Linked DNA regions of Alligator mississippiensis. The protein of the gene in region 3 purifies or fractionates together with the protein of the main gene of each other region. This does not show direct contact. Links are inferred from orthologs where the notes say so. Each region holds a gene or a part of one and is shown on either strand. Other genes may lie near its edges.

Evidence for each region. Proteins that work in one complex are often made in the same cells at the same time.
Region 1: the proteins of MINK1 (region 3) and STRN3 purify together in Homo sapiens (affinity purification with mass spectrometry; 3 studies listed by BioGRID and IntAct, with this or other methods). This does not show direct contact. The link is inferred for Alligator mississippiensis from reciprocal best matches to the Homo sapiens genes MINK1 and STRN3.
Region 2: the proteins of MINK1 (region 3) and CNOT9 purify together in Homo sapiens (affinity purification with mass spectrometry; 3 studies listed by BioGRID and IntAct, with this or other methods). This does not show direct contact. The link is inferred for Alligator mississippiensis from reciprocal best matches to the Homo sapiens genes MINK1 and CNOT9.

Annotation. Positions count from the first base shown.
Region 1 is NC_081825.1:253,306,497-253,314,524, forward strand, and holds the start of STRN3 (striatin-3), read right to left. Parts: upstream 3,080-8,028; 5' UTR 2,905-3,079; coding exon 2,614-2,904; intron 2,576-2,613; exon of another isoform or gene 2,454-2,575; intron 1-2,453. UniProt on the Homo sapiens protein: Calmodulin-binding scaffolding protein which is the center of the striatin-interacting phosphatase and kinase (STRIPAK) complexes.
Region 2 is NC_081827.1:253,766,585-253,774,304, forward strand, and holds the start of CNOT9 (CCR4-NOT transcription complex subunit 9), read left to right. Parts: upstream 1-4,641; 5' UTR 4,642-4,727; coding exon 4,728-4,751; intron 4,752-7,720. Other genes in the region: USP37 (ubiquitin carboxyl-terminal hydrolase 37), read right to left, coding at 2,765-2,920. UniProt on the Homo sapiens protein: Component of the CCR4-NOT complex which is one of the major cellular mRNA deadenylases and is linked to various cellular processes including bulk mRNA degradation, miRNA-mediated repression, translational repression during translational initiation and general transcription regulation.
Region 3 is NC_081838.1:23,812,029-23,819,330, forward strand, and holds the start of MINK1 (misshapen-like kinase 1), read right to left. Parts: upstream 3,091-7,302; coding exon 2,821-3,090; intron 2,071-2,820; coding exon 2,005-2,070; intron 1,646-2,004; coding exon 1,589-1,645; intron 1,494-1,588; coding exon 1,368-1,493; intron 1,166-1,367; coding exon 1,055-1,165; intron 765-1,054; coding exon 674-764; intron 411-673; coding exon 280-410; intron 1-279. Other genes in the region: uncharacterized protein C17orf114-like, read left to right, coding at 3,755-3,796, 4,210-4,273, 4,392-4,528; PSMB6 (proteasome subunit beta type-6), read right to left, coding at 6,730-6,857, 7,230-7,302. UniProt on the Homo sapiens protein: Serine/threonine kinase which acts as a negative regulator of Ras-related Rap2-mediated signal transduction to control neuronal structure and AMPA receptor trafficking.

The sequences.
Region 1 (8,028 bases), on a different chromosome or scaffold from region 3:
CACACACACACACACACACACACACACACACACACACACACACACAAAAAAGGCAGTTTTCTTAAATAGAAGGAAAAGTTGCAGTGGCACAAATTCCTCATTTTAAATGTGCTACAGCCCATAATCAAGGGCTGGATACAAAGTCCCATCATAATCCATCAACATTGCAGTTGGCCAAAAGGGACTGAATTCTGTCCCAAAATTGTCTCATGACTGTATTTGTAATTATGTAATATGGTTACACTTGCAGCAATGTGCTTTCTTCAGTTTACAGTCTATAGCCACTTGAATGCACAAGAAGGTTTACACCCTGAGAAAATAAAATGGTCCTAATATAGTAACAGTAACTATCAGTAGTTAAGGAAATTTCAGTGTTATTCAGCATTATAAAGGTGAGAAAGATTTACTGTACTTTACTCTAGTACTACTTTACCACTTATTTTAACATTTGTGTGTCTAATCAACTGTTCTACATATATAAGTATGATAAATGCATGTGCAACCACACACTGTTACATGAAATTATACATCCATATATCCATCATTCAGATGCAGACTTAACCATTAACTGAAGTTATTCTTGCATCTCAGTCCTCTAATACTGCTTAAGGTAAAGGGAGTGTAACAGCACTTGGTGACCAAAAGACTGCAACACCAAACATAAGTAAGCACTGGAAACAATTTTTTTTTAATTAAATCTTTCATTCCAGTGTCCATCAGATCAAATAGGCCAGATAAATATATAGTATAGTAACAAAAAGGAGTGGGTTATTACAGGTAGCCACCTCTCCATTTACCAGTATATCTCCACATTCTCTGTCATTTGCAAAGCATCCCCCATCCATGCACTTTTATTTGTACAGAGGAAAATGAAAAGAACTCATTAGTTTCATTCTGGGAGTAAGAAAATGCCTGCATTCTTAGAAAGAAAAGATGACAGCAATAAATTGACTCCCCTACACAGGTCAGTAAGATGCTCTGATCTCACAACAGTACTTGTTTTTCATTTATTTCTACGAAGTGTCATTTTCAAAGAAACATGGATAGCGAGTTAATTGAAATCAGAAAGAATCTGTAATAACTGAAAAAGTGTCTGTAGAATAAACTGAAATGTCAGAAGAAGGGAACCACACAATCAAGAGTGGCTAAGAACCTAATATTCATGTGTCAGTATTAAATACAAGACCTCAATCTTTCAAGGACTATTGCGGGTGGCTTAATTTTATGTAGGTGAGTAACCTCATAAGCCTGAAAGGTCAAAAGGGTCTGCACAATTAGGGACCAAAAAAAGAGAAACTGTTGCTATTTACAGCAAAAACTGGATCTTTACCATATATTATGACATGAGCCCCACTATAATGTTAAAATAGTGGTTTATAAATATAACCCCCCCCTTCAACAAAATATATGTAATTTCTGTAACACAAACCAACCAAGCTCTAGAAGTCAATCATAAGAGTCAATAGCCACAAGTTTTCAGTCTGATCATGTTTGCAGTAAGTTATTGTATTGAAATACAGTATTAGCACTGCTGAAACACAGGAAACAAGACGCACAGTTAAGTGCCCTGCCACTGTCCCAAGTTAGTCCTACTTCAAGAACTGAGTTAACGCTGACCAAACTAGCTCCAGAAGCAACTGGGTCCCAAAATTTACTTCACTTACAGTCTTTGTTATAACTGGGCAGTGGGGTGCTGTTTTTATTATTACTCCAGTGATACTGAATCAAGAGTACTAAGTACATGATGCACCCATTATACTAGAGCTGAGAAATCTGGTGACAGGAGCTGCTGCTTTGAAATTTAAATGCTTTATAAATCACAATCAAACAGTGTTGCAATATGCTCTAATTGGAAGGGGGTGGGGTTGGGTTTTTCTTAAAACAGCAAATTTCTGACCTACTGCTGCAAGCCATAAATACATCCAGGTACAATTATACACAGCAGATCCCTTAAGCCGGTTTCACTACAAAGAGAAAACTATTTCACTGGGACACGCTGCTCTCTCCATATTTTCCCCATAACTAAAATGCTTTTCTATGCACTTATAAAAGGGAGTCCAAATCTGCCCACCCCCTCCAGGACCAGACTGGGATCTCGGACAGCAAACAGCAGCGCTATTTCCACATGCCCAAGTCATGAGGAAGGTAATTCCTTCCCCTCACTCCAAGGAAAGATGAGAAACCGCCTCCCTCTGCTGGAACCAGACTCGGGGGCTTCACAAGGCCCGGTGCCATGGGCCAGCTGCTGACAACGGGCCGGAGGCGACCCCGGGGGGTGAAAGCCCCCTCGCCTCGCCCCCGCCCGGGGGCAGCCGCCGTCCCGGGGACTCCCCCTTCCTTGCGGAAGGAGGGGAAGTCTCCCTGCCGCGGCCCCCAGAGCCCCCGCGTCATTGTGCTCGGGGCGAGGCCCGCAGCTGTCAGGGCGCGGGAGGCGGGGGCGCTGCCCGGGCCTGCAGGCGGGGCGCGGGCTGCGAGCCGGCAGCCCAGGCGGGCGCCATGCTAGCAACCAAAATGGCTGTCCCGGGCACAGCAGCCCCGCGCAGGCCGTGAGGAGCCGGGCCGGACGCGCCACCAGGTACGGTACCGCACCGCGCCGCGCCTCTCCCCGCGTACCTGCAGCTCGGCCCGCTCCACCTCCCAGTGCGCGCGCTCCATCTCGAAGCGCGCCCACTCGTGCTGGATGTAGTGCAGGATGCCGGGGATGGTGTAGTGCTGCGGCCGCGACAGCTCTGCGCCGCCCGCCGCCTCCTGCCCCGCCGGCGCCGGCGCCGCGCCCGCCTGCCCTCCCCCGGCACAGCCCCCGCCGGCCGCCAGGCTCGCGCTGCCCGCGGGCGGCTGCTGCGGCGGCGGCTGCGGCCTCGGAACGGCCGCCATCCCGCCGCCGGCGCCGGGGTGCTCGTCCATTGTCTGCGGGGAGCCTCCTCCTCCTTCGGGTCCGGCGGGCGGGGCGGGGCGGGGCGGGGCTGGCTGGTGGGGGGCGGCCGCTGCGGGCGGGGGCGGGGTGGGCCGGGCCGGGCTGGGGCAGCAGGGGGAGGCGGCGCCGAGCGGGGTGCGAGTGTCAGAGCCGCGCCGAGCCGCCGCTGCCGCCGGCCGCCATTACAGCCGCGAGCCCTCGGCCTGACTAGCCGCCCACTGCGGAAGGGGGGGGGGGGGGACGGGCGCGCGGGGCACGCCGGGAAACCACCCCCTCCGCGCGCGCCGGACTGCGCATGCGCAGCTGAGCGGCCCGGTGGGGGCGCGGGCCGCTGGCCGTGGTCTCTAGGGCAGGGGCCTGGCGTGCGGGGGCGGAGCGGCCGCCCCTCCCCCCCCCGGCAGCCGCATTCCTCGGATGCTTCCGCTGGGGCCGCCCCAGCGCTGCGCTTCCCCGGCTGCGTGCGGGGGCTGGGAAAGGCCCCACGTGTGAGCGGTGCCTAACGGCCAGTCCCGCGTCGTTTCTTTCTGAACCAGAGCAGCCCCGAGTGTGCGCGTCTAAACCTGCCTCGTGTACCCACCTGCGCCGCGATTTGGGGGGTATACGTCTGTACCTGTACAGGAACATAGATAAAAGACATCAAGTTATCTAAAGAATTTTTTCTGGCAAAAATCTTGTTGGTCTAATATACCTCTGTCCACGAGTCAAGTTTTCTATAAAGAGATTGTGTTATCTGTCATCAAGATCTATAGATAGATTCATATATCTTTTTATAAAATAAAGATGGAAGATCTCTTTATTAGTTATAAAGATTAGCTCGATTACAAATTTTTCATGTGTGATCATGGCAGGTTATATTTTTTATTTGTATTTCGTTTTGAAAAATGTGGGCAGTTTTTCAAGCAAATGACTGACTTGCCAGAGAAATCAAAGCACCACGCAACTCCAATGCTGGTTGTAGATCTGCCAGGACAAAAAAAGGACATGGAAAAACATTTTTTTTTTTAAGTATTGCCCTTATTAACAAAGGACTATTCTTTTTTTCCCCCAAGAAGTAATTTAAAAACCTCTCCTTCATTATTTTGTAATCTTTCCTTAATCCGGGGTCCTTTCCCCAGGGAGAAAGTCTTGCAAATATTTATCACCATGCTTTGATTGGTTTCCCTGCGAAACTGGTAGCAAATTCCAGTTTTCTTCCTTATTACTTATGAGATGTATGCTATCTTCAGTCTAAATCAGGTCAGACTGTCACAGATTCATTGCCCTCAATTTCAGCAGTAATGACAGGCATATAAAGACAAATTAATTTCAGCTATCACCTCCTGCTTGAAAAAAATTGTCACCCATAATTAAATGAAAGAGGGTGTGGTTTCATCTTTCCCACAAACATATCTTTAATAACAGTTTCTTAAACAGGTTCTTTTACTAGGTGAATCAGAAATTGTATCAGTTGCTCAAGCATGGACAAATTCATGTACCATACATGGTTTTTAATCCTATGGATCCACTCTAATGACTACCTCCTCTGCTCCTTCAGGATAGGCATCTCTCATTCATGACTATGTTCTCGCTTGTAACTTCCTCCTTCTCAGCTACTGAGTTACTTTTTAAAGATTTTCCTTAAAACCTTCCTCATTGCATTAGTCCATGACAAACCTGACCCTCCATTCTCTGCTGACTAGCTGTTCCTCATCAGACATTCAGCTAATTCAGTCAACTTCCTTTTACTCAATTTTCCCTTTTCTTTCTGTTTGAAAGTTACTGTATTGAGCTCTGGTATGCATATGCTCTCTTTCTACAACTCATCATAAACCATTCTGTAGTACTTACGTGCAAGTCCTCATAAAAAATGTATTAACACAGGCATTTAAAAGAATTATGGTTAACAACTGAATCACATTGAGGGCAGTAAAATTCCTAACAATTTTCACTGCTTATATTAGTATCCAGTGAAAAACAGGAAAGATTATATCTGGTAAAATTATAATTCCCCATGGAATTTCCATGCTTTTTTCAGTCTATAAGCATATAGTATTCCTTGACAATTAAAAGGAATTGGGAGAGATGTTTTGCTCTTTCCTTCCTCCCTAACTTCCTTAGATTAGTGAAGGCTTTGATTTTTTTTTTCTTTCTTTCTTTTTTGGTCAAATTCCTAGCCCTTGAGTTGAAGCTGTTTTTTCTACCTCAGGTCCCATGAAAGAAGTTACTTCACCATCAGAACTAATGCAGTTCACATAACAGGAGGTCAGGGCATTGTTTTTACTACAAATGATTAGGAGTACTAATCAACTTTAATAGTTCTAGATGAATGGCTTAAAGATCTCTAAAAACCAACAGGCCTTGTCCCTGCTCAGAATCAAGACTAGCAGAAATAAAGGAGGTTCTTGACATATAGAATCTCTTCCTTTGCTGCACACCTTCCTTTGATTTGGCAATAGGATCATAGCCACATGTCTGGTGTACAAGGAATTCATAATCATTTGTACCTAATGATGAATCATTTGTACCTAAAACACTTGCTCTTACCTTATCACCCACTAGCTTTTGGCTTTATAATAGATTCACCTTTTTGTGCCCTTCACCTATTCCTGCCCAGCCACTCTTCCTTACCTTTCAGCTACTTAGTGTTTTTTTTCGCTTCACTTTTGCTCCATTTCTTGCTACTCTCATGTGCATCACATGTCAACCTATATATAAAGTGGGTGTATGTGGACATGCTATTACAGTGACACAATAAACTCCAGAGCAGTTTGTACTGGAGTTAACTGCTCCAGGGCATGGCATTTACACATATCTCTCCAGCAATTAAAGCTAGGGTGGAGCAGCCCAGGGATCCGGCTGGCAGTGGCGGGCAGCACAGGGGTCTGGCCCCTGGCTGGCTGGGCTGACCAGGCGCAATTTGCACCCAGTTGTAACCATCCACATGAGCATTTGATCGCAGTTAAATACTCTGCTGTAAGAAAGTTCTATCCCTGACAGTTCTCTTACAGCAGAGTTAATTTACTGTGCCCTAATACCAGGACACATATAGACGGTGACACTTTACTTGCAGCTAATTAGTGAACTCCGCAGTAAAGTGCGCGTGTAGATGCACCCAGTAGATAATAAAAACACAGCCCTCGCTCCAAAACCGTATATGTCTAAGTGACATATGGAAAGCCAACAAAATTTAGGGACTTGGGAATCACAAATCAGTTGAAGTGAGATGCAAAATTTTTTTTTTTTAGATAACTACAGGGGATTTAGGCAAAACTTAGGCTTCTAACTCACAAACAGTGACCTTGCTCTGGCAGCCACAAAATAACTTAAGGCAGTGCTTCTCAAACTATCTGATGTGGTGGACCGGCAATTTTTTTTCCAGTGGGCCAGGGACCGGTGCCTGGTTCAGCCGGTGGCAGCAACTGCATGTAACAGCACTACACAAACGTGTGACCGGCTGTTGCTTTCTCTTTCCTCGCCTCGCACGACATGATGTCACCTGCAATGTTGGAACGTACGAACTGTGGCGCTATGACATATCAATGTTATGCTTCTGAAAATATATTTCTTTCTTTCCCGGCAACTCGCTGCGGACCAGCCGACCGGTGGCTCGCGAACCAGCACTGGTCCGCAGACCACCACTTTGACAAGCACTGACTTAAGGCACACAAAAAATTAGGTCCTTCCATTTTGCTCAAGGAGAATCCTTAGGTGTCTGGTTTAAGCTTGTGACAGTCTCAGAAACCATCTAGATCACACTGAAGTTTCACCTGTGCTCCATTGCAGTCTCAGTGGTGCTGGGCAACGCTGATGGTCTGCCTAATGTTCTGATGTGTTATGTGTTTGTGGAGCTTGCTAAACACACTTCCAGGATTATTACTATTTTTAAACTAATAAATGTCTGATATAAGAGGCATGACTGATCCTGGTACCACATGTTCCCCACACCCAGAGGAGTCTCCACCACACTGGGCTGCTGAGGCATTTATCTACTTGCTCTTTCTGGCTCCTTGAATTTTGTGTTCTGGGCTATCCAGTAGTCCAGCTTCCCATAGAGGGCCCGCCCTGCCCAGAGTAACCTTAGGCTGAAAATGCCTAAAACTCAGATCTCCTTCCTGAGCAAGTGTACTAACCTGTCGATAGTATTATGTAAAAGGTGGGACATCACAAATGCTGCCACCAAATATGTGCTGTCTTACATTGAACTTGGTTTTGATGTTAGCATGGAGAGAGGCTTCCTGGTTCAGGGAGGCACCTATGTTCTGGCTCCTAGCTCTGGTTCTGGCTCATAGTTTGTAAGGCTGAAAGGGACCTTAGAAGATCATTGGGTCCAGCCCCCTGCACCAGGCAGGAAAGACAGCTGGGGTCAGGTGACCCCAGCAAGGTGACTGTCCAGTCTCCTCTTGAAGATTTCCAGTGTAGTTGATTGCACCACCTCTGGAGGGAGCTTATTCCACAGTTTTCCTAATGTTGAGCCTGAAATGGATCTTCCAGGAGTTTGTGGCCATTACTCCTGGTTTTCCCCAAGGGTGCCCTGGTGAACAGTTGTTCACCGAGCCCTTGATGTATTCCCCTGATGTAGCAGTAAGCTGCTACCAAGCCCCTCTCAGCCTTCTCTTTTTCAGGCTAAAGAGTCGCAGGTCCCTCAGCCTTTCCTCGTATGGCTTGCTGTGCAAGTCTCTGATCATATAAGTGGCTCTTTGGACTCTCTCAAGCTTTCCCACATCCTTGTTGATGTGTGTCACCCAGAACTGGACACAGTACTCCAGCTGCAGTCTCACCAATGCTGAGTAGAGCAGGAAAATCACTTCCCCACTCTACTCAGTTCGATTGATGCATTCCAGAGTATTATTTGCCATGCTGGCTATAGCATCACACTGCCGGCTCATTCTTACTGTGATCTATTATTACCCCCAGGTCCCTTTCGTTCATAGCTCTGGTCAGTTGGGCGCTGCCAAGCCTGTAGGTCTGTAAGGGGTTGTTCATCCCCAGATGACCACTTTACATTTCTCAGTGTTGAACTTTATCTGGTTCTGACTTGCCCAACTTGCTAGCCTGTCTAGCTCTGCCTGTATCTATAGTGTGACCATGCTTCCCCATAACTTGGTGTCATCCATGAACTTGGCCAGTGAGCTCTT
Region 2 (7,720 bases), on a different chromosome or scaffold from region 3:
TAGCTTTGAGAAGCCAATATAAGTAACACACAAGTCCATATATGAAGTATGTCAGGCAGTAAATGGGTGTTTTGACTGGTGAAATTACCCACCACCAATCTTTCCCAATTACCCAATGCACACTGAACTAAACATGTTCAGTCAGTAAGAATTCAAGAGGGTCTGCAAAACTTTGTTCCCTGATGGGTTTATTTCAGAAGAGAATGACTCTCCTTCATGTCACCATCCAAGTCCAAACCTCCAGCTGAAAAACTCTAATGAGTCAACAGTATTTATTATCCACCACAATCTGCATTTGTTTGCCATGCCTTATTTCAACTAGATTGTAAGGCCTTCATGGCATTTCCTATTGTGTTCCCGTATAGCACCTAAGTCAAACAAGTCTTTAAGCAGCAGTGTAACATAAGGAGTATGAAAAGCTGCTAAAATCCGGAAAGACAAGGTTCTTTAGGTAAACGTGATCTTATTAGACCACTAAATAGTTGGAAAAATTATTCTTCACAACCAATTATTTAGTTGGTCTAAAAAAAGATTATCACATTTACCTAAAGAACCTTGTCTGTCTATGCCTTTAGACCAACACGTCTACAGCCAACAACTCTACAGCATCTAGAAAGATTTTCTTCATTTCTTCTAGAAGTTGACTGCTTAATTCTCTGATGAATTTGAAACGGAAGATGAAAAAGGGCTGACACTTCTGCCAAAGCCTCATGTAAGAGGAACCACTATTGCAATGCATGTGTCACCTGACTGCTGAGAATTTAGTCACGTACATTTTAAATCACCACTGCAACAGCTTTCTGTCACTTGCGATAGATAAGGCGTTCAGCATTGTTTATCTGCATTTTTATATCAAAACGTTCACAGAACACATTGACAGCACAGGACAGAGTCTAGACAGCAAGCAGGTAACAAGGCTGATAAAAGGCTTAGAAAGCAAGTCACATGAGGAGAGGCTAGAGCTGGGCATGTTCAGTTTGTGGAAAAGGAGACATGACAGCAGCCTTCAAATAATCGAAGGACTGCCATAAAGAGGGAAAGCTTCTTTTTTCTCTTGTTGTAGAGAGGAGGGTGCAGACCCATGGCTTGAAGTTGCAGCAAAGTCAGTTTAGATTGGATCTCAGGATCTCACCACTACGCTGGGAAGGAGAGGATTACTGGAGGGTTCAAGGAAAGGCTGGATGTGCACTGGGTGGGAAGGATCTAGGTGCAGCGATGCCCGTGCTCTGCTGTGGGGGTGCTCCGGGCTGCGGGGCTTTGCTGGTTGCTCCCCCCCTCCCAAACTTTCTGCTGCATGTGTCAGTGGGTTTTTAAGCCTCCCTTCGTGGCACTGGGTGTTGGCTGCAACCCAGGCTGGAGATGGGGATTGGGCTGTGCCAGTGCACTTGCTAGGACTTCAAGCCTGACGTTCCCGCTTCCTGTCTCTCTCCCCCTCTCAGAGTCAGACCAACATCATATCTGGGGTGAACCTTCCTCTGTAGCAGGGGGATATGGTCTTCTTTCTGGGATCTCTTGAGCATATATTAATAACCTTTATAGAAGCAGGCTGCTAGCTGTCATAGTCCCCTTGCTTCACCCATGGCAGGTTTGGGTGTGACGCCTGGTGTTATGTCAGGGGTGACAATAGTTTTACAAAGAGTTTAGATCATGACTTGTACAGGATGGTTGGGATAGGGATGATCCTGCCTCAGGAAGTGGGTTGGACTAGATGACCTGGGAAGGCCCCTTCCAGTCCTACTTCTGCCCTCTATGATTTCTACAACAAGAAATTTAATCTTCCCATCAATTAAGCTAAAAATCTCTGCCAGCAGTGCAGTAGCTTGCTGCGCATCTAGGAAAACAGATGCAACAGGTACTTCCTGAACCAGTAAATCCTCCCAGTCCCTTCTAGGTACCACCACTGCCCAAGACTCATGAGGTCAGAAGGACCTTACCAAGTACACAGTAATACTTAAGGGAAGAACCACGCAGAATTACACTTTATCTTACATGGGTCCAGTCCATTACAGCAATTCCCAAGAGCTTTTAATGCTCTTTCCTTCAATTCTTTGTCTGTTTGGGATTTTTAGACAGTACGGGTTCTAAAGAGCTTACAATCTCCTCACGTAAGCTGGACAAAATGTACGTAGGGCACCACTGCATTAAAAATAATAAATTAAGAGAAACAAAAGGCAAATGAAAGGAGGAAAAATAAGGTTGACTATTGGAAGAGATTTCTCGACAGCAAGCACTCTCAAATCTCCAGAGAGAGATGGTGCAAGTCACACTGCTTGAAGCATTTAAAACTTAGTCAGGCCAACACTTTGAAGATGAGCCTCACATCAGTAAGCAGAAAGACTACCAGTAGATCCACACTGGAATTTTTCAGCATTTCAACTGGGAAAAGCACCAGAGTAGAAAAGGCCCCGAGGTCCCAGTAGACTTTCATCTCGATTGTGTAAGTGTATCAGGTGAAAGGGTTTGGATTTCCAACAAGCTGAGAGGCCAGGTGCTACACAGCTCTGTCTTCTTTTCGTGGTTTCTAGGTCTCATTTCTTCCCAATTAATGGTGCGCTCCCTGCCTGGTGTGGCAGTTCACCTACCAGAACACCTGAATAATTTACAGCAGGGTTAGACAAAAGGATTAGTGTGCTGGAAACGAGGAACAAGAAACAGTCTCAGAGGGAAGTCTGTGTGACACTTAATAGTCTCAGAGAGGACAGCTGGTCACAAAAGGGCACAATCTATGCACAACTCAGACAAAAAGCCTCGATAGTTGGTGTACCTGAAATGTCTTTGGAATTCCTCCAACATTGTAGTGAACCACTAGACTCACTTTGTTGTCCTTCTCCACTATTTCAAAGCTTCCTTCTTTCCATTTTGTAATCCCAGTCTGCATACTACGCATCCGGACGGGGCCGTGTACCTTCAGCGGAGCCATGTTGTCTTGCTATTAAACTTACAAGAGATTGCGTTGGCTCCACCTTGAAACCTGTCCAAGAGAGACGTACAATTGGCAAATAAAAATAGCTGTGGAAAGTGTAAAAAACATTTCTGGGAGGTACAGCAACAAACCGATTTCATGTTATTACCTCCAGATGCCTGCTGGACCAAAAAAACCCCAATTTTCAGAGCATTAATTATTTTACCCTCTGAAGATAAGCTGCACCAAAGGGTGTTGAATAGACACCAAAAAAAAATAACCTTGAAAAACCTCCGTGAAAACCCTACAGATTTTCCAAACAAGCCCGATTTTGGCTGAGACCAAATACGTCAAAAGAAAGTTTTCAAGGAAATCTATACCTGCAACTTCTGCAAAGTCCTGGTGAATTTACACAAGAAGCATTTTTTAGGGAGCACCTAACCTCTTTAAAAGACAAAAGTCACGCCGTCATCTACTCGTATTATCGTGACCCCGATCTCCTCTACCGGCTAACCCGCGCTGCGATCGGGATGACACCCAGCACCGCGGGATCCCCAGTGACGCAGGCGAGGAACAGAACGTGAAGAACGACGTCATTGTGCCGACAGTCCGTGACCTCACAGAGGGATGACCCGGACTGACCCGGCCCCGCGCTCGCTCCTGCCCAGGGCGCGGGCTCGGACTCGATGGTGTACTGGGGTCCCGTCCGACCCTAACAACTATGAAACCACGGAGAAAAAAGGGAACCGCTTCCCAAGGGAACCCACACGTAACCCCAAACGCAACCCGTACGATGCTATTCTGCGTTAAAACCCGAGCACGCCGACGGTGCCGTGACGCCAGGACGGCCGATCGGTTTAACGGAGCCGCCGGGCTCCAGAAACGTTTTATAAACGAGGGGGACCCTTTCGCTCTTGCTCATCGGTAGCGACCGACTCGCCTCGACGCCCTCGCAACGTGCCCGGTCCCGAACGCCGTCCGCCGCGGCTGCCCGGGAACAAGACACCATTGTTTAGCCGGTGTTAAAGGGGAGGGAGGGGGGCACGCACCCTCCCGCATTAAAGGGGAAAGGATGCTCTTGTATTAAAGGGGAGGGGGGCTGCACCCTCCCGCATTAAAGGGGAGGGGTGCACCCCCTCCAGCATTAAAGGGGGAAGGACCCTCTTGTATTAAAGGGGAGGGGGGTTGCACGCCCTCCAGCATTAAAGGGGAGGGGGTTGGGGGGCGCACTGTCCCCTAGCAAGCGTGGTGGCCGGCGGGGCGGGGCCGGGGTACGAGGGCCGCGGCCGGGCGGCGGTGAGGGAGCAGAAAGCGGAGCGGCAGACCGGGCAGGGAGCAGAGCAGTGAAGTGGGCAGGGGAAGGGGATCGGAGTGGCAGTCAGGGCGGATGAGGCCCATTTTAGAGGCGGGAGCACTGAGGCACGCAACAGGCAGGGCCTGCGTGTCCGTCCCCGAACGCACCGCCGCGGCCCCGTGTTTGCTGCTCCTCCCCGCAGGTCTGGGGGGGGGGACTCCCCACACCGGGGGGGCAGCTCCCCCCCGGGAGACACCCCGCTCCGTACCTGCGCGCGGCGGCGGCTCCTGAGGGGGCGGGGGGAGGGCTGAAGGCAAATGGCGGGAACCAGGCGACAGCGTGAGGCCGCACGCACGGCGTGCCGACGTCACCGCGCCGCCCCCAGCATGCCCCACGCGCGCTCACGCGCGCTGCCGCCGCCCGCCAGCCCCGCGCATGCGCATGGGGAGGGGTCAGAGGGCGCCGCGGGGGGAGGGCAGCGCGGCGCCATGGCGGCCTCCTGAGCGCGGCCCGAGCCCCGGCGGCGCCGCCATGCACAGCCTGGCCACGGCCGCGGTGAGCCCGCGCCGCCCTGCCCCGCGGGGGACCTCGCTGTCCTAGTACCGGGCGGGCGGGCGGGCCATGGTATTTTTTGTGGGGGCTGGCCGTAGTATTGGCGGGAGGACCTAGCAGCACTGTGGGGGGGTGGTCCATGGTGTTTTGGGGGGAGGGGGTCTGTCTGTGGTGTTTGGGGGGGTGGACCTGTAGTTTTGGGGGGAGGGGGGGCTGCCCGTGGTGTTTGGGGGGGCGGTCCCATAGTTTTGGGGGGAGGGGGGTCTGTCTGTGGTGTTTGGGGGGGCGGTTCTGTAGTTTTGGGGGGGAGGGGAGCTGTCTGTGGTGTTTGGGGGGCAGTCCTGTAGTTTTGGGGGGGGCTGGCCATGGTGTTTGGGGGCTGTCCCTTAGTTTTGAGGGGAGGGGGGGCTGGCCATGGTGTTTTGGGGGGAGGGGGGGCTGGCCATGGTGTTTGGGGGGCCATTCCCATAGTTTTGGGGGGGTGGTTGAGTCCACCTCCCTGCCTGAAGCAGGACCAGCCCTGTGCAAACCAGCCCAGACAAAGCGTCACCGAAAGTGTGTGTGAAACTCGTTGCAGTGCCAGGCCTCGCGGCCAGCCCTGCTCCGGGCAGAGCCGTGGGACCGCGGCTGCTGACCTCCTGCTCCTTTAACGGGTTGTTAACGTGCTCGGGAGATGCTGGGTGGAAGCCGTGCCCCCCCCCACCCCCCCGGTCTGTATTTAGAGGTGAGCGGCAGGCGGTTGCAGAGACGATGCCCTGTTGCGTCCGATGCTGCTTCCTCAAAGGCGTTGATCGGTCGCTGCGTACGAGACCCGCTGCCTTTTTGGATCAGTTTGTCTCTAAAGCAGCGATTCGGAGCCAGGTGCCGCAGCTCCTGGAGATCCTTTCGGGCCACGCAGCATTAGCGCTGTTTGGTGCGTGATCCTGATTCTCGAGATGAACCTGGAGATTTCAAAGAGGAATTCGTAGGCTTACAGCTACTCTGACGGACCTGCCGCGGGCTTTCTTTGCAGCCACAGAACCGCTCTGCTCTCTCTCTCTAGTCATAAATAGTGAGAAATAAGAGCTGGCATTTCCCAAGCATTTAAAAGGGTGAGACCTCCCCACCTTGCCCTGTCTTTTGCAGTACTGTTAGCAAGCACAGTGTCAATTATAGCAACTTTCACATCTTCCATATGTGTTAGAATATCACATTCAGATGGGATTTGCTGCTGTGGGTGTCAGTCAGTTGCTGAGCTAAATATTTAGGCTCAAAAGTGATGTTTGGTAGAGGACAAAACAGAAGTTTGGAGTTTAGTGCTCAGAACCATTGGCTGCAATCCCTACCGTGCTTTTCATCATATACGAGGGGCTGGTGGAGCTTCTTATTCTGTTTTCTAGTCTTCCCTCTGATGCAAAATCACTTTAAAGCAGCATTGATTAAAAAAAAACAAGCCAAAAACCCGCCTCTGGCTGCTACGAGGAGAGCAGGATATTGCAGTAGTTGATTTTAAATATTTGTAGTGGACGTGTGCTCTGGTCACAGCACCTGACAGAATTGTGTCCTCTTGAAGAGCTGCGCTGAAGGTACTCTAATACTGTACGTATATTGTATACTGTATATAGTATGCCTATATATCTGCTTTGGTTAGTCTGTGTGGTGCAAATTTACCCTTCTACTTGACTTTAGACCGACACGGGTAGCTACACCTTGATATTTTAATACTTTCAAGGGTACAGAGGCATAAATGGAGCCTAATTACACCCATCTCTGGAGGGAGCTAGTGGCTGCAACACATCCTGCTCTCCTCGAGGAAGGCCCTGGCTTAGTCCAGTGGGACTAAAGCGGGACAGTCTTATTTTAGGTTGAAAGAGCATTGCCTTTAGAAAGCTGCAGTAAGACAGTCCTGGCCTTTTATGTAGTGCCAGCATTTCGCTTTGAAAACTGAAAATAGCATAGCTCAGTACTGGGGGAGGTGTAGGGGGAGTAGAGATGAAAACAGCTAGCAAAGGGAAGCTTGAAGTAAAAGTAGGGGGTGTGAAAGCACCAAGCAAGCAGACCCAGGTTATTAACTAGAGAGATCGTTCTGGGGTTCTTGTGTTAATTATCTCACCAAAAATAGCTAGGACACAATATTGCCTGGCGGTGTGCCTTTCTCTAAGTGGTCAGTATTTTTAACTTGGATGTTTAGAAAGAGCTGCCTTTTTTATTTTCCCCTTAATTTCTTTTTTTCTTGTGGTTCCTAATTGTCTAAATGAATTTGTGTAACTCTCAGAGTTGTGGCTTGGCCCAAAAACCGGGGGAACACCTTTATTACTGCAAAAAGCGTCATGAGGCCTTTAACGCTCCAGAAGTGATCAGTCCTGGGTGTGGTAATGGATGTCCCAACTCTTGCATACTAAAGGTGCAACAGCAATCAGTCTGGGAAGATCCTAGATGCTCATCTGAATATTTGTGTGGAGTATTTGCATCTAACAATTGAAGTCCTCCCTGAATTTTAGGTAGAGAGTAGAAAAAATGTCTGGTAGTCTGGAAAGCAGCAGTTTGGGAATGTAAGAAATAACATTTCCTCGAGACTTTTAATTGAGTGTTTCAGGGACCGGTTAAATACGATGGGAGGCTGTAAAGCTCATGGAGACCAATTTGCTTCTAATTAACCAAGGTAGTGGACACCATGAACTTAATTGCCTGGAGAATGTATTTAGTATTCTCTGGAGATCTCTGGCCCAGGCTTACACTTCAAAAATTCAGCTTGAACTGAAACTTCCAGCAGGTCTGGCACAATTGGGCTGCACATTTGAGCTCAGCTAAAGGGCTTGCCGCTCAGTCATTCAAACCAAACTCTGCGGTGTTTGTAAGCCTCATTACTGGAGGTGCTAAGAGGATTAGTCTCCCAGCTCTTAACACAGAATGAATGTGTCACTATTCACCACACTAAAAAAAAAAAAGCCTGAAATGCCCCAAGACCAGGAGGAGATGAAGGAAGGATTAAT
Region 3 (7,302 bases):
GAAACCAAGCATCTAGCACCCTCCCCCACCCCACAAGGCTGCCTAGATTGATTGGCCCGGCGCCCTGGGTTCTAAGGCATCTGATGGCTCAATGGACCAGGGGCGGGAGGGACTCAGTGCCTGAGCACCCCACAAATGGGGTCGAGGTGGAACACAAGTATCTGGGGCTGGATCCCAGCCTCCAGGGAGGGGTGGGAGAGTCCTGGAGGAATCCAGGCATCTGGGGGCCCCAGGGAGAGGTGGGGGGACCCGGGGAAACCCAGGCATCCGGGGACACACCCGGCAGTCGTAGGTGGCATGGGGGTCGTCGTCACAGGCAATAACCTCGGGCGCCATCCAATAGGGCGTGCCAATGAAGGTGTTGCGCCGGCCCACTGTGCGATCCAGCTGTGCACTGACCCCGAAGTCAACTGGGGGGAGGCAGGGACGGCAGTCAGGTCCCGCCCCCAGCCCTACCCCCGCCCCTGGCCCTTCCCCCCAGAGAAGCCCTCATCTGAGCCAAGGAAGGGACCCAGGTGCCCAGGGCTCAAGACAGGAGAAGATGCAGACATCTGGGAGAGAAGTGGCCCAGGTATCTGGGGGGTGGGTCAGGGGAGGAGCCAGGCATCTGGGGGCCAGGACAGGACAGGACCCAGGTGTCTGGGGGAAGGGAACCTAGGCATCTGGGCCGTACCCAGCTTGACCTCAGCGTTTTCGGTGAGCAGCACATTTTGCCCCTTGATGTCACGATGAATCACCTTGTGCGCGTGCAGATGGGCCAAGCCCTACAGGAGTGTGGGGGGAAGGAAATCAGCCAGGGACCCAGATGTCCAGAAATCCCTTGTCCCCCCAGAGGCCCAATAGGACCAAAGAAACCAGGTATCTGGGCACCAAGACCCCTTTCCCCGCCCAAAGTGAGGACAGTCCCAGGCATCCAGGCTTTGCTGTGGTCCCTGCCACTCCCAGCCTCTCCTGGGCAAGTCAGGCATCTGGGCTTCCAGTCACTCCCCCTGCCCAGTAGAACCCAGGCATCTGGGCCCCAGGGGAACCCCGGTGTCTGGGGGGGCCCACACACCCGCAGGATCTCGCGGCAGACATAGGCGATGACGTCCTCACGCAGCGCGTGGCCCTTGGAGCCCTTCACCAGGTCAGTCACAGATCCAGCGCCGCAGAACTCCATCACCAGCTGGAGGGGGCACAGGGGGAGGGGTGTCGGTCACAGACTGGGGGCACCCTAGGATCCCCTGAGCATCCCCTCGACCCCCCACCTCCCCAGCTGTGGGAGGTCCAAGCTCCTCTTTGGCCCCCTCTCTTCCCCTCAAGGGGCTCAGAGCAACCCCCGTTCCCCCCAGGCCCAATCTGAACAGACCCTTAGGACCCGCCCTCACCCAGAGCTGGTCATCATGCCCTGGGGGGCTCTTCTTGACAAAGGCCCCATAGTAGGTGGCAATGTTGCGGTGGTGCGAGTACTTCTTCAGCATGTTGATCTCCTGCTTGATCTCTTCTTCCTCGTCCTGGGGGGCCAGGGGGTCAGCTCCCGACCCGCAGCCCCTGTCCATCCAGCCCTGCCGGTGCCCCTCACTCCCGACCCGCAGCCCCCTTTTCGTACCTCAGTAACATCCATGACCTTGATGGCTGCCAGCTGCCCTGTCTTGACATGGCGGCCCTAGGGGGTGAGGGCATCAGATGGGGGAAGGCAGTGGGCCACCTGACCCCACTTCCCTCCCAGGAACCCCAGCTCCATGGCCATCCCCCACCACTGGCTCTCGGTGGGGAGCCCAGGCATTGGGTGTGCAGCCCCTCCCCACCAGGCTCCTGTCCCCTCCCAGAGAACCTAGGCTCCCGTCCCCTCTTGCCCTGCTCCCGTAGCCTGCAGCACACACCGTGGGAGCCACGTGACAAGGACCGTGAGGGGCAGCTACAGTCATGAGGGGCCTGGAGAGGCCGAAGGGACTCAGGCTTCTGGGTCTGCAGGCGGGGGGGGGAGGATGGACTGAGGCATTTAAATTGGTGGGAGGGTCTCACCTTATAGACCTGCCCGTAGGTCCCATTGCCGACGACTTCTACCAACTCGAAAATCCCAGCAGGGTCCTGGGGGGGAGAGGGGGGGCAGTCACAGGGTGGGGAAACCAGCAGACTGCCCCCACCCCCTTCCAGGGGCAGGGCCTGCCTCAGGGCGGGGGAAGGGAGCCAGTGAAGCCCCCCCCACTCTCCTTGGCCTGGTTTGGCTCCGGCAGAGGATCCCAGTGGGGGCTGGAATGGGGTCATCGGGGCGGGGGGGTGTACAGCTCCTGACACATGTGGGTTGCGGGGGAGGGGGGACCTGGGGAGCCCAGGAGTCCGCCCCACCACCCCCCCATGCAGGCAGGCTGGGGCAGGCCCACGGCATGGCACAGCCGCACCTGGGAGCAATGCCAGATCTGGCCAGGAGCTGCATAGGGGGAGGGGGTGTTGGGGCAAGGGGTTCCTCGTGACCGGGGGCAGTACTGGGTGCAATGCAGGGACTCGGGGGGGGGGGGGGGGGGGGAGGGGGACCGGGAAACCCGCCGGCTCCCCCGAGGTATCGCACCCCTCGGTGACCTGTCTGAAGGGAGAGATACGTGGATCTCCGACCCCAGCCCTGACCTTTGACCCCAGCCCATAATAGGGGACTACCCTAACCCTTCAACCCCCTCCCCTGGCGCAGACCCCATGTCCTGCCCCCGGACCCCTTTGACCTCCTGTCCCCTCCCCTCAGCCGCCCTTGACCTTTAAACCCCGCCGCCTGCCCAGGGCCCGGACAGGCGTGACTTCTGACCCCGCTCTGACAACCCCCCGGCGACCTTTGACCCCTACCCTTACCCGCAGGGCGGAGAGGTCGATGTCGTCCAGGCTGCGGGCGGGGGCGGGGTCCGCCATGCTGGGGGCGGCAGGGGCAGGGGCGGCACCGGGCACGGGCACCGGCCCCCGGCGGCCGCGGCTCCGCGCACCGACTGCCAGCACCGAACTGCGCATGCGCCGCCCGGGCAGCAGCACCGAACTGCGCCTGCGCCAGTCTTGGCGCAGGCGCAGTGTGAAGGAATTACCAGGAAGCATATGTGCAGTAAAGGGCACGATTACCTTGGTACGCATGCGTAGCTGGCCCGGGAGCAGGGGGCGAATCCCTGTTGTGAGCATGCGTGTAAAAGTGAGTAGGAGGGGTTTAGGTTGTAGCCGTGTTGGTTTAAGGACGTAGGCAGACAAGGTTCTTTGGGTGAATTTGATATTTTTTATTAAACCAACCCAAATAGTTGGAGAATATTTATTAAGCAAGCTTTCGGGTTCAAAAACCCTTCGTCAGTGGGTGGGAGGACCTCACGAAACAGTGAGCAATGCGCATGCGCTCCTGCGCTGGAGAGGAAGGTGGGCAGCCCTAGCTCCGCGCCGGCGCTGAGGAGCCGGACTGCTGCGCATGCGTTGGAGACCGAGTGAGAGGCGTGGGGAGAGCGAAAGGCGGCTGTGACTGCGAATGAGCACAGGGAGGTGGCGAGAGAGGTGCTTCCCGCCTTGTTTTCAATTCTTGGGGGCGGGGCTTGCCTCGGACAACTAGAACTGAGAGGGCGTGGTCTGTAATGGGCGAGGCTTGTTGGGGATGTGGCCTTAAGGAGGGGGGCATGCCCCTCCCTCCCCCCCCTTATTTCCCGTGGCAAGTGACCCCCACCCTGCGGTGCCCACTCCCGACTCGTGGGTGTGTCCCGGGGGCGTATCCAAGGGGCGGGGCCATGTCTAGTACCAGGGCAGCCGGATCGGGGCAGCCATGGGGGGGCGCAGGGACCCCCCGACCGGGGAAGCCCAGCAGGTGAGGGGGCTCCAGGGCACTTGGGTCTCCTGCCTGTGGGGCCCTGGCGAGCAGACGCGTGGATCCCCTGGGCAGGACCCCCAGGTCCCTCCATGTTGAGGTGGGGGGTCCTCCACAGCTGCCCTGGTCTGTGGGGTCCCCAGGTTTGCTCAGTCTGGCAGGGCAGACACCTGCGTCCCCCGCACCCTCTGCATCCAGACGCCTGGGGTCCCTGCAGGGTCTGGGGGGGGCCCCAGCTGGGGACACCTGGTCGCAGGCTGCTCCCAAAAACAAGTGCGGAGGGAGGTTACCCCCCCATCCTGTCTGGCGCCCAGGCATAGCCCTATAATTATGGGTCCAGGCGCCAGGCTGGCAAAACACAGAGTGGGTAGACAGCTCCACCCAGCCCCAGTGACCCCCCCGCCCTCTCCCAGGGTCGGATCCGGGCTCGGCTGCTGCGCTGCTTCCTCTGCTCCCGGACCCGGAGCCGGAGCCCAGGTGAGACACCCCCCCCCATGCACACCCCCTCCTCCAGCTCTAACCCATGACTCTCTGAGACAGGCGAGGGATCCCCATACTCTGCTGTGATCCCCTATTGCTCTCTCTCCCCACCCAGGTACAATGCAGCCCCAGGACCCCCCCAGCCCACCAGGGCCGGATCCAGAGCCAGGAACCCCCCGGGCCTACTTCAGCGGCAAGGCACGTGTGTCCTTCCGCCACCAGCTGGATGCCCCTCTCGAAGTGGCCGGCTGACATGGACAAATCCGCAATCCCCGCAGCACTGGAGCCCCCCGCCCTGGTGAGAGAGGAGGTGCAGGGCACCCACAGCCCCTCAGCAATGACACCGAGCTGGGGGGGGCACGGATCCAGAGACCGCCAGCCATGGGAGGACTGGAGTAGGGGAAGTGTCCTGGAGATGAGGGCAGGGTCCTGCATCCCACGCGGGACAACCCCAGGCCCCAGGACTGGCTTGGACCAAGCAGGAAGGGGTCCGATCGCCTGCTGGGAACCATGGGGGGGAACCAAGCAGAGCCCACCCCCCCCACCCCTGAGGCCCCTCCCAGCCCTGCTGCTCTAGGATCCGATGGCATGGGGGAGGGATCGCATCCCAACCCCCCCACATCCAAATGCCTCAATAAACAACTCTGCGGTGATCAAATGGCATCTGGTCTGTATTGCTAGGAGCTGCAGGTTGGGAGTGAGAGGTACCAGCAAGGCTGGAGGGGCAGGGGGCTGCCAGGCAGGAGTGAAGGGCATTGGCTGGGCCAGGAGATTTCCCACCCCACCTTTCCACAGCTGGGGAACCCAGGTGGCCAGGGCCTAGCACAGAGGGCACAGACATGGGTGCAGATGGTCCCAAGAGCAGTTTATTGCATCTCCAGGGGCTCATGACCTGGATTAGAGATGGGGGAGCTCTCAGGGGTGTGGGAGCTGGTCTGCCTACAGCCCCTGGCCCTCGACCCCATGCTCCATGATGGCGGCCAGGTGCACCTCGCCATCACTCCAGCCACCCTGCTCTATGTCCTGTCAGCTTGGGAGGAGGCGGCTCAACACCCAGATGCCTGGGTCCACTGCAGCCCCTGCCTCCCCAGACTCCTGCATTCTTCCCCCTAGAACTCCCCCCACCCCCACAAATGCCTCCCACCAGTCCAATCCTGCACACCCAGATCCACACCAGCCCCCCCACCCCGCCCCTTTCCCCAATGCCCTAGACTCCAAGGTTCTCCCTCAGCCCCCTTCAACAGTCTCTCCCTACTCCTGCACTGCCCTGGATGCCCCCAACACCCCCAGGTCCCCCCTGTAGCTGGCACTGCCCCAACCCTCCTGCCCTAGGCTCTTAGGTTAACCCCCCCCCCCCCACCTTCCTGGCCCCCTGCATCTCCCCACAGGGTGCCTAAACCAGCTCCTGGCTGCTGGAGGGGAGTGGGGTTTACCATTGCTAACATAGTGTAGGCACTCATCCTGGCTCATGCCCAGCTAGTAGTTGGTATCAATATTCCCAGAGACTGAGACTGGCTACCAGAGCAGCATTCTGCCCCACACCAGGTACACCTAGGAGGGGCAGGGGGGGGATGTTATCTCAGCTCCATGCGGCAGGGGCTGGGGGCTGTCCCAGGCAGCTGGCTCTGGGGTGGGTCTCAGGCTAGGCACAGCAGCTCTGGGAAGGCAGGAGGGGGGGGGGGCGGGGCAGCCAGGATCTTACCTGTCCACCCTGGTATGGATCCCAGCCGGCCACAAAGTTGCTGGCATTGAACTCCAGAAAGTAGTGGTGAAGAGATGGGCTGAGAGCACCAGAGGTAGCACATTCAGCTCAATGCTGGGGGAAGGGGGCAGAGGTGGGTGCCCCACTCCTGACCTGCAGCCCCTGTCAGTGCTCCTCACTCCTGCCCCACAGGCCCCTGCCCCTGCCTTGCCATCTAGCATTGAGCACGGGTTTGTGGTCCTAAGGATCTCCACTGAAATTGCCTAGTGACATCACTGCTGCATGGGGTTTGCTGTTTCTGGCTTATTTCTTGGGTGCATGGGACAATTCCCCTGGAAACACTCCCATCTGTGGCTGGGCTAGGCCAAGGCAGCAGTAACCATGGAGCCACATCACACTCTGGAAGCAGCTCAACCAGGCAGCGTAGGCACCACACAGCTGCCAAGGAGCTGGACATTACTGCACATGTGCCAGGGGCAGCACAGGACAGCTGCAATTGCATGCATACAAGGGGAGGACATAAGGGAGGTATTTCCCTCCTTAGTTTCAAGGGGGACAGAGCTTGACCATGTGGTGAAAAAGGCAGGCCCTACAGGGCAGGAGTGAGGGGCACCAGCCCAGCTAAGAGAGCCCCCCCACCCCTTCCCATAGCCAGAGAACGCAGGCATCCAGGCTCCCAGCACAGAGCACGCAGATACAGCCATGGAAAGGTTCCAAGAGCAGTTTATTGGGCCCCCGGGGGGCGCTGGTCTCAAGCAGATGAGAAGCGTGGGAGCTTGTCCCCCTGCAGCACCTGGCGCTCGACCCCACGCTCGGTGATGGCTGCCAGCCGCACCACACCGCCACTCGAGCCGTCCCGCTCCATGGCCAGCGCCAGTGCTGTGAGAGGGAGGGCAGTCAGCACCTGAACCGCTAGATCCACTGCAACCCCACCCCCAAGAACCTCTAACAGCCACCCAGCTTCCAGGTTCTTCCCCACAATCTTCCCCACCTCTCCTGCCTTACCTGGATCCCATCCCATACCCCCCCCAGGACCATCCAGCCTGCCCTAGTACCCCACCTCCACCCGCTGCCCCAGAAGCCTGGGTCCCAACACCCTCTCCAATTTTCCCCTATAACCACCCTGGACCCCTGAGTTCCCCTCTCCCCAACTCAAGGCAGTGCCCTTCCAACACCTCCCTGGATGCCTGGGTCTGCCTACCACCTGGCCCCAAACTAGATCCCAGATGCCTGGATCCTGGGGGGTGTTACCATTAGCAACGAAGCGCAGGCACTCCTCCTTGCTCATGCCCGGCTGGTAGTTGGCATCAACGTAGCCGTAGAT